2 linked regions of the Sus scrofa genome follow. The protein of the gene in region 2 interacts with the protein of the main gene of each other region in a pairwise test. Links are inferred from orthologs where the notes say so. Each region holds a gene or a part of one and is shown on either strand. Other genes may lie near its edges. The genes, in order: ERGIC3 and VAMP5.

The links.
Region 1: the proteins of VAMP5 (region 2) and ERGIC3 interact in binary tests that used the Homo sapiens proteins (3 or more experiments, as listed by UniProt). The link is inferred for Sus scrofa from reciprocal best matches to the Homo sapiens genes VAMP5 and ERGIC3.

Annotation. Positions count from the first base shown.
Region 1 is NC_010459.5:38,890,330-38,897,327, reverse strand, and holds part of ERGIC3 (endoplasmic reticulum-Golgi intermediate compartment protein 3), read right to left. Parts: intron 6,720-6,998; coding exon 6,626-6,719; intron 5,807-6,625; coding exon 5,641-5,806; intron 5,498-5,640; coding exon 5,440-5,497; intron 1,275-5,439; coding exon 1,260-1,274; intron 636-1,259; coding exon 604-635; intron 1-603. UniProt on the Homo sapiens protein: Possible role in transport between endoplasmic reticulum and Golgi. Positively regulates trafficking of the secretory proteins SERPINA1/alpha1-antitrypsin and HP/haptoglobin.
Region 2 is NC_010445.4:59,181,623-59,189,398, forward strand, and holds the start of VAMP5 (vesicle-associated membrane protein 5), read right to left. Parts: upstream 4,082-7,776; 5' UTR 3,605-4,081; coding exon 3,602-3,604; intron 1-3,601. Other genes in the region: VAMP8 (vesicle-associated membrane protein 8), read right to left, coding at 6,594-6,734. UniProt on the Homo sapiens protein: May participate in trafficking events that are associated with myogenesis, such as myoblast fusion and/or GLUT4 trafficking.

The sequences.
Region 1 (6,998 bases), on a different chromosome or scaffold from region 2:
CAGGAACCCCTTCCTCAGTCTACAGGCTCCTGGGGCTCCAGAGTTTGAGGTTCTGGCTGCACCCACACAGGAGGCAAACACAGACTGGGCATGGGCCCTGTGTGGCAGGTGCTGGCTTTGCCTGGAGGCACTGGCTGGAGGGCTCAGATCTCCCAGCTCCTGTCCTGCTCCTGTCTAGATCAAACTCAGCCACTAGAGGGATCTTTAAAAAAAACGCAAATTTGATTGCATCTTGACCCTGTTTAAAGCAAGCTAACAGCTTCCCACTGCTCGAGAGAAAGACCGGACTCCCTGGCATGGCCTGCCAACCCTCCAGCCTCACCAAACCACAGTGGCCCCGTGCTTCCCAAGTGCCATGCTGTCTCCAGACATCACCCCCAGGCTCCCTCTGCCCAGATGCTCTTGTCCAATACCATCGGTCTCCAGCCTACATAGATTTCAGTTCAAAAGTCGCTCCCAGTCCCCTCAGACTGCGTCCCCTGCCAGAATATGGTTTATATTTCTCTATCTGCTCCCCTGTCCCCGGATGTCCCTACAGAGAATGAGAACAGCAGCCACGCCTCCACCTCCATCTGTCCTCCATGGTTTCCACCCAGTACTTACATTGTCAAGGCCGAAGCTCTGGAGGTCATGGACTAGGAGAGAAGGGAGAAGGGGTCACTCAGTGGAGCAGGCTTCCCAGACCCTCACCGGGGCCTCCTCACTCCTCCCTCTGGGCTGTGACCTGCCTGTTCTCCACCCCTCACTCACTCACCAGCCTCGCCCTGCTAGAGCGCAGCGAGGGCCACTAGAGGCCCCACTTCTACCCTGACATCTACAGGGAGCCCTTCATGGGCATCACTCTAGGCCTTTGCTCCCACCAAGGCACTGCCTGCATCTCAGGATTTAACCCACTGACTCTGGTCTCCTATTAACTAGAGCTGATGGCTAATCACTGAGCCCCAAAGTGAGATGGGACCTGAGAATGTGGTCCAAGCTCTTTCCCTGGCTCCTTGCCCCCACCCTCAAGCCACCGAAGGAAGTCCCACAGGCACCCTGTACCTCTGCTCCAGAACAGTTCTTCCTGCCCTCTAACCCTGATCCCTCTTGCTACAAGGAACCCCACCTCAAAGATATATCCCACAGCTTTTTATAGTCCACCCAGCAGCCAGGCCAGAGAAGAACCCCATCCCAGGCCCATCCAAACCTCTCCCCATCCTGGGTGGGCAGGCTGCCCCAGAAATGGGGGCTTGGCCTTGCTGGGGGGCAGGGCCACTTACTCTCCACAGCATGTACTGCAGCATGGGGGAGGGAAGCAGAGAGGAAGAGGAAAAGAAAAAAAGATTGAGAGCTTCACAATGAGAACAATGGAGCAAGATACATGGTAGAAGGGAAGACTGGACTGTTCCTGCCTCAGCAGCAGGGTCCAGACACAGCTAATAAGTCTCTCCTCAGGCCCCTCCCCCAAGGAGCCCTTCCCCGGCCAGAGAAGAGTACAAGGGGGCTTGGGGCAGAAGTATGGTGGCCTAGGAAGACAAAAGACCTAGAGCTCAAAGAGTCACTTTCCTAGCTGTGTGACTTTGGGCAAATCACTTGTCCTCTCTGAGCCTTGGTATTCTCCTCTGCACAGGGCTGTCCTGAGGACCAGGTAGGATCTAAGATGGGAAAGTCCTTGGTAAACTTTACAGTCTTCCCCTTTCCTCTCCCAAATCAACACGATGTCAGAAACTAGCTCACAGGCCTTCAATTCAGGCTCTGGCCATGGACAACTGTAGCTTCCCTTCGAACATCCCTCTAGGGAACAGTGCACCCTTTGTCCTGGGCTCCCTGACTCTGACAGAGAAGTGGAGAAGCACCCACCCTTCTGAGTTCCCACTGGCGCTGTGCCCACAGCTCCACATCAATCATCTTCCCATGATTTCAGAGAGACCACCCTTCCCCAGCCCCTCCAGATCTATCTACCTGCCCCGCCCCAACACTCAGCCTCATCCCCCCCACCCCTGACTGCCTGAAAGACCAGCAGGGCCATCTCCGTCGGGCCTGGTATTCCTGCTGAGCTTTATCACTGGTCAGCTCAAGACTTCTGGGTCATCCCACATCCTCTGGAGTCTTGTCACCAGATGGCTCTATCCATTCTCAAGTACGATCCTGTCTCCCATCCCTCTGAGACCTCCCGTGGGCCCTATTACTCAACAGCAAAACCCCAACATCTCCAACCTCCAAATATTCCCTCACCTTTGTGCTCCGACCGCAGCCTGGCTCTTCCCTGAAGGCACTATTTCCCTTGCAGCCCCCCAGGCAGGGGCTTTTTCTCTCCCATACCCTCTTCCTCCTTAACCTTAAGAGAGGTTCTCCTTGTTCCTCAATGCCATTTCCAGATCACTATCCCTTGATTTTCCCTAAAAATCTCCAGTTTTGCAGCTCATGGCAATGACACTACCACCTACTCCATCTGTCTGAACTTCTCGGAGACACACACAGACCTGCTGGTCAGTCCTCTCACGCCGGTTCTCCAGGGCTTTAGCCAGTGACTGTCTCCCTCTCCTATACGATGATGGCCCTGTCACAACTCCTGGTGGCCATGTCACTCAGCTGCCAACGCACCCATACCTACATAGTCTGCCTTTCCTCCTGTTGCCAAGTAAGGGCGTTCTACACAGCTAAGGCCTAGATTCTGTCTCTTCCTCCTAAAGGACCTCACTCCAGGGAATGTCCTCCCTCTCGGGAGCAGCACTTCTGCCCTCCTCAGCAGGTAATATCTGACAGCATATTAACACCAGGCGGCATCACACATCTGACAAACCACTCCCGCGCCCCCCACTGCCTATTTCCCTCCAGCCAGAGCCCACTCTCTCCCTTCCCTCTATTTTTAAAATTTATTTATTTATTTATTTATTGGCTGCACTCATGGCATGTGGAAGTTCCCAGGCCAGGGGTGAAACCTGCACCACAGGAGTGGCCTGAGCCACTGCAGTGACAATGCTAGGTCCTTGATCTGCTGAGGCACCAGGGGACTCCTCTCCCTTCCCTTTAGAACAAACCCCATAAAAGAGCTGTCTCCACTCATGGGCTCCAACTCTTCTCCTATTCCCTCCTGAACCCACTCACTGGCTGCTCCCTGGCACTCAACCCAAACTGCTCTGTTAAGGTCACAAAGACCACTACCATGCTATACCCCCAATGATCATTCTACTTGGCATCCAGAAGCATCTGATATGGTTTTGGAAACACTTCCATTTCTTGGCTTGCAGGACAAGCCAGGGCTCTGTGTTTCTTGCCAGGCTCCTCCGCTGCTTCCTCCTGAGCCCCGTCCTCTAAAGCTGGGGGTCCAGTGCTTGGTGCTCTGAGCTTTCCTCTTCACCACCTACCCTCACCTCCACCTGCAAGGTCCTTCATCCAGTTCCACAGCTTTAAATACACTGATGACTCCAACATTTGTACCTCCAGGCCAGACCTCTGCCTCGAATTCCACATTTGAATAACTCATTGCTTACCTGATACCTGGGTATCTAAAAGGACATGCTGAAAGCAGCTCTATGTCCCCCACTCCAACCATCTAAACCTGTTCCTCTGAGTCTTCACCGCCTCACTAAATGGTAACTTCATCCTTCTCGCTGCTCAAGTACAAAACTTTTGGAGTCATTCTCTTTGCTTTACCTTCCCACCCGACAGGAACTCCTCTCAGCTCTACCTTCAAAATATATACAATCACTTCTCACCTCCTCTACTGCCACTGTGCCCAGCCCCCATCATCCGGCACCCGGATCCATCACTGCGACAGCCTCCCAGCTGGCCTTGCGGTATCTGTCCTCCCCTCCACAGTCTTCACACAGCAGAATGCTGCCTACTTTTTGAAGTTTTGTGGGGTTTTTTTGCTTTTTTGTTTGTTTTTAGGGCTGCACCCAGGGCATATAGAAGTTCCCAAGCTAGGGGTTGAATTGGAGCTACTGCTGCGAGCCTACACCACAGCCACAGCAATGTAGGATCCGAGCTATGCCTGTGACCTGCCCCACAGCTCACGGCAATGCCGGATCCTTAACCCACTGAGTGAGGCAGGAATCAAACTTGAATTCTCATGGATCCTAGTCGGGTTTGTTAACCCCTGAGCCGTGAAGGGAACTCCTACTTTTTGAAGTTAAATCAGATCATGCACCACTTCTTCAGAGCCCTGCCACAGCCTCCTTCAGAGCCCTACCATCTGGCACAGGGTAAAAGCTCAAGTCCCTACAAGGCTCTTGGGGGCCCCACTTGACACGCCCCTGTCACTCCCACCTTATTCCTAACCCCGCAGTTCTGCTCACTGAGCCCCAGGCACCCTAATTCTCAAGGTACTGGTACCTCAAGTTCACCAAGCCCATTCCTGCCTTAGGGATTTCCATTCTCTGCTTGAAACGCTTCTCCCACACTTCTATGCGGCTGGTCCCTTCACTTTCTTCAGGTCTTTGCTCAAACATTACCCATCAGAGAGTCTTTCCCTGACCACTCTGTATGAAACGGCACACACATAACTTCTCTCTCAAGCCTCTCACCCCCATCATCTTTATCCTGCCTCTTATGGGTTCATGTTACTTAAAAACATCTGATGTACCATATAATTTATATACTTGTTTATTGTCTATTTCTTTACTAGGCTGTTCTGAGGGCAGGGAACTTTGCTTTGATCACTACTGTGTTCTTAGCACCTAGACTAGTACATGGCACACAGCAGGTGATTACTAAATATCTAGAGAATGGATGGATGAATAAATGAATGAGAATAAATTTCATTTACTCACACCTGTGAACAACTGTACGGTAGGTACTATTTCAGGCCCATTTTATAGGAGAAACTGAGTAGGACTCGATACTTCCCAAATATGACACTGCTCTGGGAAGGCAGAACCTGGGCTCCAGACCAGCTCTGCTTTCCCTAAAGCCTCACACACAGGTCATCTGACATTGGGGCTACCATTTAAACACATGCCTATCACAAGCCAGGCTCTGTGCTGTCATATTTTGGAGGATTTTTTTGCTGTTGTTTTTTGGGCTTTTTGTGGGGCTGCACCTGTGACATAGGGAGGTCCCAGGCCAGGGACTGAATCTGAGTTACAGCTGTGACCTATGCCACCGCTGTGGCAACACCAGACCTTAACCTACTGTGCCACAGCAGGAACTCCCATGCTATCATCTTTACCCTGCCCAAACAGCCTAGGAAATCAGTATTATTATCACCATTTTATAAAGTAGAACACTGAAGCTCAAAAAGGAAACTGTCTCCAAGTTTCAAATAGCCAGTAAGGTCTAAAACTGAAATCTGAAGCCAGGCAGTCTGGCTCCTCAGCTGTGCTCTTAACTGGTTACCAAACCCTGAGATGAGGGTTTGCTCTGGGCCAAAGACTAAAGAGCATCAGGCAGGCAAAGGGGCATTCAAACTCAACCTGGGTCTGGAAGTGAAGCTCCCGGTTGATGCAGATCACTTACCATGCACATGGGACTGCTGGAAGCTCTTCCCGGGGGCGAAGTGGAAGTTCCCAGCCACCTGTAAGGGAGATAACCCTCTCTTTCCCCAGCTGTTTCCGCCCTTCCTTTTGTCCCCTGAGGACAAGTGGGCCCTCGATTCACAGTGGAGTGGGGCCAGCCCACAGCCCCGCTGGCCCTGTCCTGCCTCGGGTCCTCCTGTACCTTGTTGACTTCCAAGAAGCCGTACACCTGGCAGCCTTCATTCTTCTGCTCCTGCATCTTCTGGCTGAAGCCCTCCCGCCGGCACTGCTCAATAGTGTCTGGGTTCTTGAAGGCCCAGCCTCGACGGCGATATGCCTCCCGCACATCCTCGCAGGAGTTACAGCACCTGTCGGAGATGGGGTGCAGGGGTAAGAGTGTCAAACAGGCACAAAAATAATGCTGGCATCTTGGGAAATAAAGCGGTTCTGTCCAATAATGAAGCCTTGCCAGCCTCATTCCTGACCACCAAACATTCTCAAAGTTTGTTTCCTCAGCAGGACTATTAAAAATACATATTCTCATTTTGTTTGGGATGATGAAAAGTTTTGGACCAGGCAGTAGTGATGGCTTTACAATACTATGAATGAAGTTAATGCCACCGGACTGCGCACATGAAAATGGTTAAAGTGGTAAATTTTATTTCATATATATGTTACCTAAATAAAAAAATTTTAAATACACATTCCCAGGCCCTACCCTAGACCAGCTGAATCAGCCTCTCAGGGGCCAGGGCCCAAGAAACAAAACAGCAATTGCCACATATTGAGGGCTTAATAACCCGGGCTGGGCCTTCCAGCTCAGTGCTTCACAAACAGAATATATTTACTCCTTATGTGACCCTCTGAGAAAGGTAATATTATCATCCCCTGTCACAGGAGAGGTTTTATGTAGCTTGGCCCAAGGACACATGGGTGGAAATCAGGCAGCTGGACTCCAGAGACTACCTCTGAAACAGAGCAAGGACCACTTCAACCTCATCCCTGCTCTGCAGCCCCCAGGCAGGGCCCGGCCACAGAGCCTCAGCCACTTGCACCAGCATCGGTGACCATCTTGTCTAAATTCTTGGTCCGGCCTCCCTACCCCCAAGGTCCAACACAGGCTGAGGATGACCAACGAAAAGTGCCTGGTGGGAGCTGTTCCCCACCACTGCCCAAGTCTGGCTCACTTGATGTCTTCCGTCTCAGCGCCATAGCAGCTCTCACAGCGATCGGGGTCCAGGGAGTCAGGGTCAAACACCTTTATCTCGACTTTCCCGAGCTCTATGGGGAGGGCAGAGGCAGGGGTATCAGCTGGGGGCAGGCACAGTGAGATCTGTACTCCCAATCCCTGCATGCACCCTTCAGCCTGTGGCTTAAGAATAATAAACATTATAATAGCTAATATTTACATAGTACATACTAAGTGTCAAGCACTAAGTATTTCTACACTGTTATTTCTTTTAATAAAGGTAACAGTAATAAAACAGTAACAGCAAATACTAAATATTACCTGAGTATAGTTGTGTACTTTACATATACATATATTGTCTTTTTTCAGCC
Region 2 (7,776 bases):
AGGTAGGCAGTGCTGTTGGCAGGCGGGGAAGTGTTAGTTAAACAGGAAATTGACAGAATGTCACCCCATGTGCAGAATATCCCTCTTTCCATTCTCAAATCTCCTTTCAGGTTTTTCCAGGCTAGAGTCAGTTGCTCTGAAAACAAATCTCTCAAAAACCTCCCCCGTCAACTCTCCGGTCTCCCCTCTCAGCTGTCATTACCGTCGTCCTCAAAAGGACTCAGACTGGAGTTCCCATTGTGGCTCAGCCAGTTAAGAACTTGACTAGCATCCATGACGATGCGGGTTCGATCCTTGGCCTCGCTCAGTGGGTTAAGGATCCAGTGTTGCCTCGAGGTGCATATAAATGTGGCTTGGATCTGGTGGATCTGGCTGTGATCCAGACCAGCAGCTGAAGCTCCAATTCAACCCCTAGCCTGGGAACTTCCATATGCCGCAGGTGCAGCCCTAAAAAGAAAAAAAAATGTACCTGGGCGGCAATCTGGTGTATCGACTCCTTCCTGGGTCAGCACTCACTTAAGCTCAGGGTCTAAGAGTCAGGGTCTGCATTACAGCCCTGGTTCCTTTAAATCCTGCCTCTGTCGCTCACCGGCTAAGTGACTAAAGACTAAGGATATGACTTTTTTGACCTTCCGCTTCCTCATCTATAAAGTAGTGACAATAATATCTGCCATAATATCAGCCAAGGCATGTGACATGTTACAAATAAAGTTTTTACCAGAGTTCCTGACTTGTACTAAATGCTCAATAAATAATAGCTATTATTATCACTGTAGCCCAAGATTCCCTACCTTTTTTTTTTTTTTTTTTTTTTTTTAGCTATCGGATCCCAGTACCTACACAATGCTTGTGGTCCATAAAGCCTCTTAGACATTTTGACAAAATACACAACCAAGCAAGCTCTTCCCTTTTGCAAACTTGTGCACTTGTTTCTAACCTAAATATAGAACTTGACACTGGCCTTTGATAACCTGTATCTAGTTTATTTCCATCAGTCACAGCAGACTGTTGAGAAGGTTTTACATCTTGACAGTGGTAACAGCCACCATTCAGTGGGCACATACTCTGAGCTAAGTTCTGTGCTTCCTGCTGTTTATTTCATTTAAGCCTCACAATAATGTGCTTCAATGGGAAAGTGCTGTTATCCCTGTCGTATAAGAAACTGAAGTCAGAAGGGTTAAGTCACCGAACCAAGGTCACAGAGCCAGTGACAAGGAGATCTCAGAGTTGAATCAACTTCGACTCCAAGAATCACATTCTTAACCCCTATGCTGAACTGGATGCAGGTAAAGAAAGGCCAAATGCTTTAGCTGGCTGGCTAAAGACTCACCAGACCTTCTGATGCTGCCAGCTCAACTTGTGTGCATGTGAGTTTGGCTCAAAACTCAAATTCTTTGCACAGGGCCTGAGAGAGGACCATCTATGAGATGAATGATGTCAAGTCATTACTCATTAAATTTCTGTCTTTCCCATCAATATTTTCTTCCTACTCTGTTTCCTATGCCAGTCACCATGCCTGGCACAAAGAAAATGCCCAAGAAACACTTGTTATGTGAGTGAATCAGAGAAGAGGAGGAAAGAAGGGAAAGGAAGGAAAAGAAGGAAAAGTAGGCAAGGCAGATGTGAAGAAGGAAGGGAAAGTGCCGGGGGTTGACGAAGGGGCAGGAGTGAAAGAAAAAATAGGGGTGGGGGAGTGATGAACGGGGTGGGAGGGGCAGGAGGAGGTTGGAGTTGGCACATGCGCATTGAGATATATGGAATGATTGGTCAACAGGGACCTGCTATATAGCACAGAGAACTCTACCCAGTATTCTGTGATAATCTATGTGGGAAAAGAATCTTAATGAGAATGGATGTGTGTACAGGTATGACTGAATCACTTTTCTGTACAGCAGAAATTATCACAACCTTTTAAACCAACTATACTCCAATAAAACTTTAAAAACTGGAAGAAGAAGGAGTTCCCGTCATGGCGCAGTGGTTAATGAATCCTACTAGAAACCACGAGGTTGGGGGTTCGGTCCCTGCCCTTGCTCAGTGGGTTGACAATCCGGCGTTGCTGTGAGCTGTGGTGTAGGTTGCAGACACGGCTCGGATCCCGCGTTGCTGTGGCTCTGGCATAGGCCAGTGGATACAGCTCCGATTCGACCCCTAGCCTGGGAACCTCCATATGCCACGGGAGTGGCCCAAGAAATAGCAAAAAGACCAAAAACAAACAAACAAACAAAACAACAACAACAACAAAAAAAAAACCAAAAAACTGGAAGAAGAAGAAAAAAAAGAAAAAAAAAACAGAGGGAAGGAGCGAGGAGATGGATGGGAGACAGGCATCAGTGTACCCTCCCTGGGCTCAGATGCATCATTTCCTCAGATGAACCTGTGAGAGTCCCAGAGTTTTCCAGTACCTTCCAATAAATGATCTTAGTCTCAGCCTTGCAGAGTTTCCTCTTCTCTCCAAGTGCTTAAGGGTTAGCTGCAAGCCTACCCTAACCCTGCCTGATCCTTTGCTCCACCCGCTGGGAAGTGGGCTCTGGGGTCTGTCCTATTCTCCAGCCTCCCTCAGTTTCCTGGCGTGGCTGCAGAGCTCCACGCTACCTTCCTGCCCCGCTTCCTCTTCCTGCCTCCAGGTCCCTGGAGATGAGGCCATCCAGGCATCCAGACCCCCAGCCAGGCCACATCCATCACACCTCTGCTGGCTTTCCACGGGCAGAATCCCAGTACCCAGCCTGCTGGCGCCTGCCGGGGCCCAACTTCCAGGGAGTTCTAGCAGAGAGAAGCCTCCAGTACCACCTATTCTTGACACCTTAGCCTTGGAGAAGGCAAGTGGGAACAGAGGCCCAAGTCTACAGCAGGAGTGGGGGATGACTCAACTTAAGAATGTGTCCCTAGATAGGGGCTAGAAGCAAGTCAGGCTATGCCACCCCCTGATAACTTCAGTGGAACGCTTACAGTAAACATCTTCCTTTCTCTTTCCCCAGGGGGAGGAGTTTGCCTTCCAACACCCTGGCACAGGGGCTGGCATGGCCTCTACCACCCCATCTGCTCAGGTTTCCAAGCCCTGGGCCAGACTTGGCTCCTCACAGCTTCAGGAAGGGCTGAAGAGGTCATCATATTACCCACCACTTCTCAGGAGCAGGTTCTGAGTACCAGGCAGCTCTCTGCCACCGTCTCTCCTCTAACCTTCCGAGGACCCAGCAAGGCTGTCGGTATTGCTGACCCCACTTCACCATGCGGAAGAGGAGGCTCAGGGAGGCTAAGTGACTTGCCCGGGGTCACAGAGTGGGTAAGTGGCCACCAACAGGATCTCTGCCCGGAGTCTGACACCGAAGCCGGTGCTTGTAACCACTTGGCCCCCTCAAGTGGGAAGCCAGAGTCCCGTTCTCTTGGCGCGGAGCTGCGGGGACCCGCGCACGCCCCACTTTCCCTCCCGGGATGCGCGAGGTGAGCGGAGGGTCTGTTTTGGTCCTGCTCTGGCCGGCACTACCTCGCTGGGGGACCAGCGCGGGTTCCGGGAAGACGCCCGGGCCCTTGGACTTCGTTCTATCGCCTCGCACTCCCACGTCGCTCGCCCTCTGCCCGCCGCCCAGCCCCGGGCTCTCACCATCGTCGCTGCTGCCGCCACCTCGTCAGCTCCGGCTCCTCTGCCCTCAAGCGGCCGCGGTGCCAGGGACCAGGGAGGAAACGGAGGGCGGGGCCGGCTCGGCGGGGGGCGGGGGGCGCGCGATCCCTGCGCCGCGACCGTGACCAAGACAAATCGAAAGCGACCGGCGAAGGATTCTGGGCTCCGGGGCCGGTGCCTCTCCCTGCGCCGCCGCCGGCGCCCGGCCGCGAACGACTCCCCAGCCTCGTGAAGTGGGGGCTCTGCATGGACAGCCTGGTGCCAGGTCTACACCTCGGGGGCCCGCTGGAGTGGGCTCTGGAGTGGGCTCAAGGAGTCCTCTCTAGAGCTGCATCCCAGATCTGGTAGATCGGGTTGACCTGGGGAGGCATCATCATTTATTCATTCAACAGGAACCTGTAGGAGTGCCACTGCCCTGCCCTGTGCTAGGCGCTGCCCACCTTGATGAATGCAAATTACCCATCACCCTAAAAACGACCTCCTCAAAGTTTTGAAACCAAATAAATTTTATTCACAATAAATGGTATTAATACACTACCTGCCACTGGATTGTACATTATAAAACAGTCGATTGTATGTTTTGTGAATTTCACCTCAATCAAAAGAGAAAACAGAGAGCCCCTTCCCCAACCCTAGTTCTAGCTTTTTCTTTACTTCCCTTTCACCACGTGCTAAGTGCAACCCTGCCCTAATATGCCCCTGTTCCTCAATGGGAGGATGAGGGAGGTTGGTGTGTCCAGTCCTTCCAGAGCCTTCTTGAGCTGGATCCGTCCATCCTCAGCCTCTCCTTTCAGTGCTTCAGGGAAGCCACCTGCCACCTCTTCTCCACCGCACCCCTTGCCACCCCCAACATCTCAGAGGTGGCCCCTTTTAAGGAAGGAGGCTTAAAGTTCCCTCTCCCTGGATGAATCCCAGTGAACAAAGACCCCACCCCCACCCAGGACGGTGAGTCTGGGTTGCAATGGCTGAGGCTGCTCGGAGCTCCAGTCCAGGAGTGGACTGAGGACAGGGGATGGACATGGTTGTGACAAAGATCACAGCAAGGAGTTCCCGTTGTGGTTCAGCAGGTTAAGAACCCGACTAGTATCCATGATAATGCAGGTTCAATCCCTGGCCTCCCTCAGTGGGTTAAGTATCTGGCGTTGCCGTGGACTGTGGTGTAGGTCTCAGACATGGCTTGGATCCTGCGTGGCTGTGGCTGTGACGTAGGCCAGCAGGTCCAGCTCCAGCTCCAATTCAGCCCCTAGCCTGGAAACTCCCATATGCTGCAGATGCAGCCTTAAAAAAAAAGAAAAAAAAAAAAAAAAAAGACTGGGGTGGGGGTCTCATCTGTGCTTTCCTCCCTTCCTAGTTTTCAGAGCATGATTCTAGAACCCAACTTGCCAGTACTAAGTCTCAAATCCTGTCTCCCACCCCTGCCCTTCTGGACTCCCTCCCCCAAACAGGTTCAATTGTGGAACACCTATGGGGGAAACAAGGACAGAGATGATGAAAACCCTTCCCTCAAACCAAGGCAGACTGGGTACCGGAAAGAGTGACAATGACGATGGAACCTGGTAGGGAGGAGGGAGGCCCAAAGACAGAGAGGCCCATTGTCCGTCGAGGGGAAGGAAGGCCATAGGCCCTGTCCTGTGACACTGACTGTGCCCGGCCACGGGACACGCGTGAGATGCTTGCCCCCTCAGGACAGCTGAGACCCAGAGGCCCTGCTAAGCTCCAGGAGGGCAGGGGCAGACAAAAGACAAATGGAACTTGCAGAACCACAGGAGACGGAAAAGCAGTTCAGTTCCTCCAACACCCCGCACCCCACCTCCCACCTCTAGAGTACAATAGGGCCATGGAAGAGAAAGAGCACTGATGGGAGGGGCAGGAGGCCCTTAACCAGACGAAAGGGTCAGCCCAGGTAGGTTTCCCATCTCAGCTAACACTTCCCGCAGAAAAGTAACAAAGGAAATGGCAAGAGAGGGCCACTGGGAGTCTTACATACCACCCTAAAATGTTGGGGGAGGTTTTGAATTTTCTGTATGCTGAGACCTCCAGAAAATTCCTCTTCTTGAGACAAGTGACAGTGATGGAGAAAGGAGAGATAAAGAAAGTCAGGGAGGAGTTCCCTCTGTGGAGCAGTGGGATTGGCAGCATCTCTGCAGCCCCAGGATACAGGTTGGATCTGGCATTCTCTGGCCCAGGAACTCCATATGCTGCAGGGGTCGCCAAAACAACAAAACAAAACAAACAAGAAAGACAAGGCATTTCCACTTTTCTCCTTCAAATATATGCTCTCCGCCCCTCCAATAACTTGGCCCTCCAATGGGAGACTCTGCCAGAGGGTCTTCAGAGAGAAAAGCAATAGAAGGGCCAGGAGTTCCCGCTGTGGCTCAGCAGATTAAGAACCCAACTAGTATCCATGAGGATATAGATTCGATCCTGGCCTTGCTCAGTGGGTTAAGGACTGACTGAGTGTTGCTATTGAGCTGTGGTGCAGGTTGCAGACCGGCTCGGATCCTGAGTTGCAGTGGCTGTGGTGTAGGCTGGCAGCTGCAGCTCCAATTCGACCCCTAGCCTGGGAACTTCCATATATGGTGGGTGTGGCCCTAAGAAGACTAAAAAGAAAAAGAAATAGAAGGTCCAAACGGAAAGGGAGAAAGGACCTCACACGCATAGGGATACAGAAAGGTCTTTATTGCCCACTGGCCACCGTCAGTTCCATCAGCTTCCCAGCCACATGCTGGGCCCTCTGGGTCTGTCTCTCCAACCACCTCTGAGGCCCCCTGAGACACAGCCACAGTCTGGCTCTCTCCTTCCAGGGACCAAGGTACTCACGGGGGCAGACAGTGCGGGGGTCTCAGAGTGAGAGGCGGGAGGCTCGAGCAGCATTCTTTGTGGAGGAGCATGGGAGAGAGGGCCCCTCTCGGCACCCACTATGGAAGGTTGCCCTGAAGAGGAGGGCAGGGTGGAAGGGGTTCCCTAAGTTATTTTAAGGGATGACGTTGGTGGCAAAGAGCACGATGAAGAGGATGATGATAAAAACGATCACGCAGATGATGACGATCATCTTCACGTTCTTCCACCAGAACTTCCGAGCCACCTTCTGGGACGTGGTCTTGAAGTGCTCAGACTGCAAGAGATAAGGCAGAGTGACCCAGTGCCTCCTCCCACTGGACCACGAGTACAAACAGAGACCCGCACACCACACATTTAAGTGTTTAAGTGCTAGGAGTTTCCCGGTGGCTCAGTAGGCTAAGGATCTGGCATTGTCACTGTGGTGGCTCAGGCTGCAGCCATGGCCAGGGCTCAATCCCTGGCCCGGGGAACTTCTGCCTGCGTTGGGCATGGCCCAAAAAAATAAAAATAAAAAAAAAATATTTAGGTGCTGGAGTTCCTGCTGTGGCCCAACAGGATGGGTGGAGTCTTGGGAGCACTGGGACGCAGGCTTGATCCCTGGCCATGCACCATGGGTTAAGGATCCAGCCTTGCCGCAGATTCAGCCTTAAGGGGCAACTGCAGCTCAGATCTGATCTGTGGCCTGGGAACTCCCTGAGCTGCAGGGCGGCCAAAAAAGAAAAAAAAAAAATTACATAATTATATATTTGGGAGTTCCCATCATGGCTCAGTGGTTAACGAACCTGACTAATTACCATGAGGTGACAGGTTTGATCCCTGGCCTTGCTCAGTGGGTTAAGAATCCAGTGTTGCCGTGAGCTGTGGTGTAGGTCTCAGACGAAGTTCGGATCTGGTGTTGCTGTGGCTGTGGTGTCAGCTCCAATTAGACCCCCAGCCTGGGAACTTCCACATGCCAGGGGTGTGGCCCTAAAAAGACAAAATAAAAATTTTTTATATATTTGTATATTATACACTTTGGATATTTTACATATTTATATATTTTATATATTTTATATATTATATATTTGTATATAAATATATATATTTATTTAAGTGCTAAAGGTGAGGTAACAGACTGCTGAATAAAAAGGTTCTGTCCTCCTACCTTGACAAATATACCTTCACAACAACCTGGTGGGCCAAGTTCAAATTTAGGATTCTTGGGCTCACCCCTTGGGTGCCCTGACTGTCCCCTTCTCTTCTTACCCCTGCACTGTCATGTATACTGAGGGGCCTCTGACATATGCTCACACCCACAGTTGTGACATCGTCAGTGC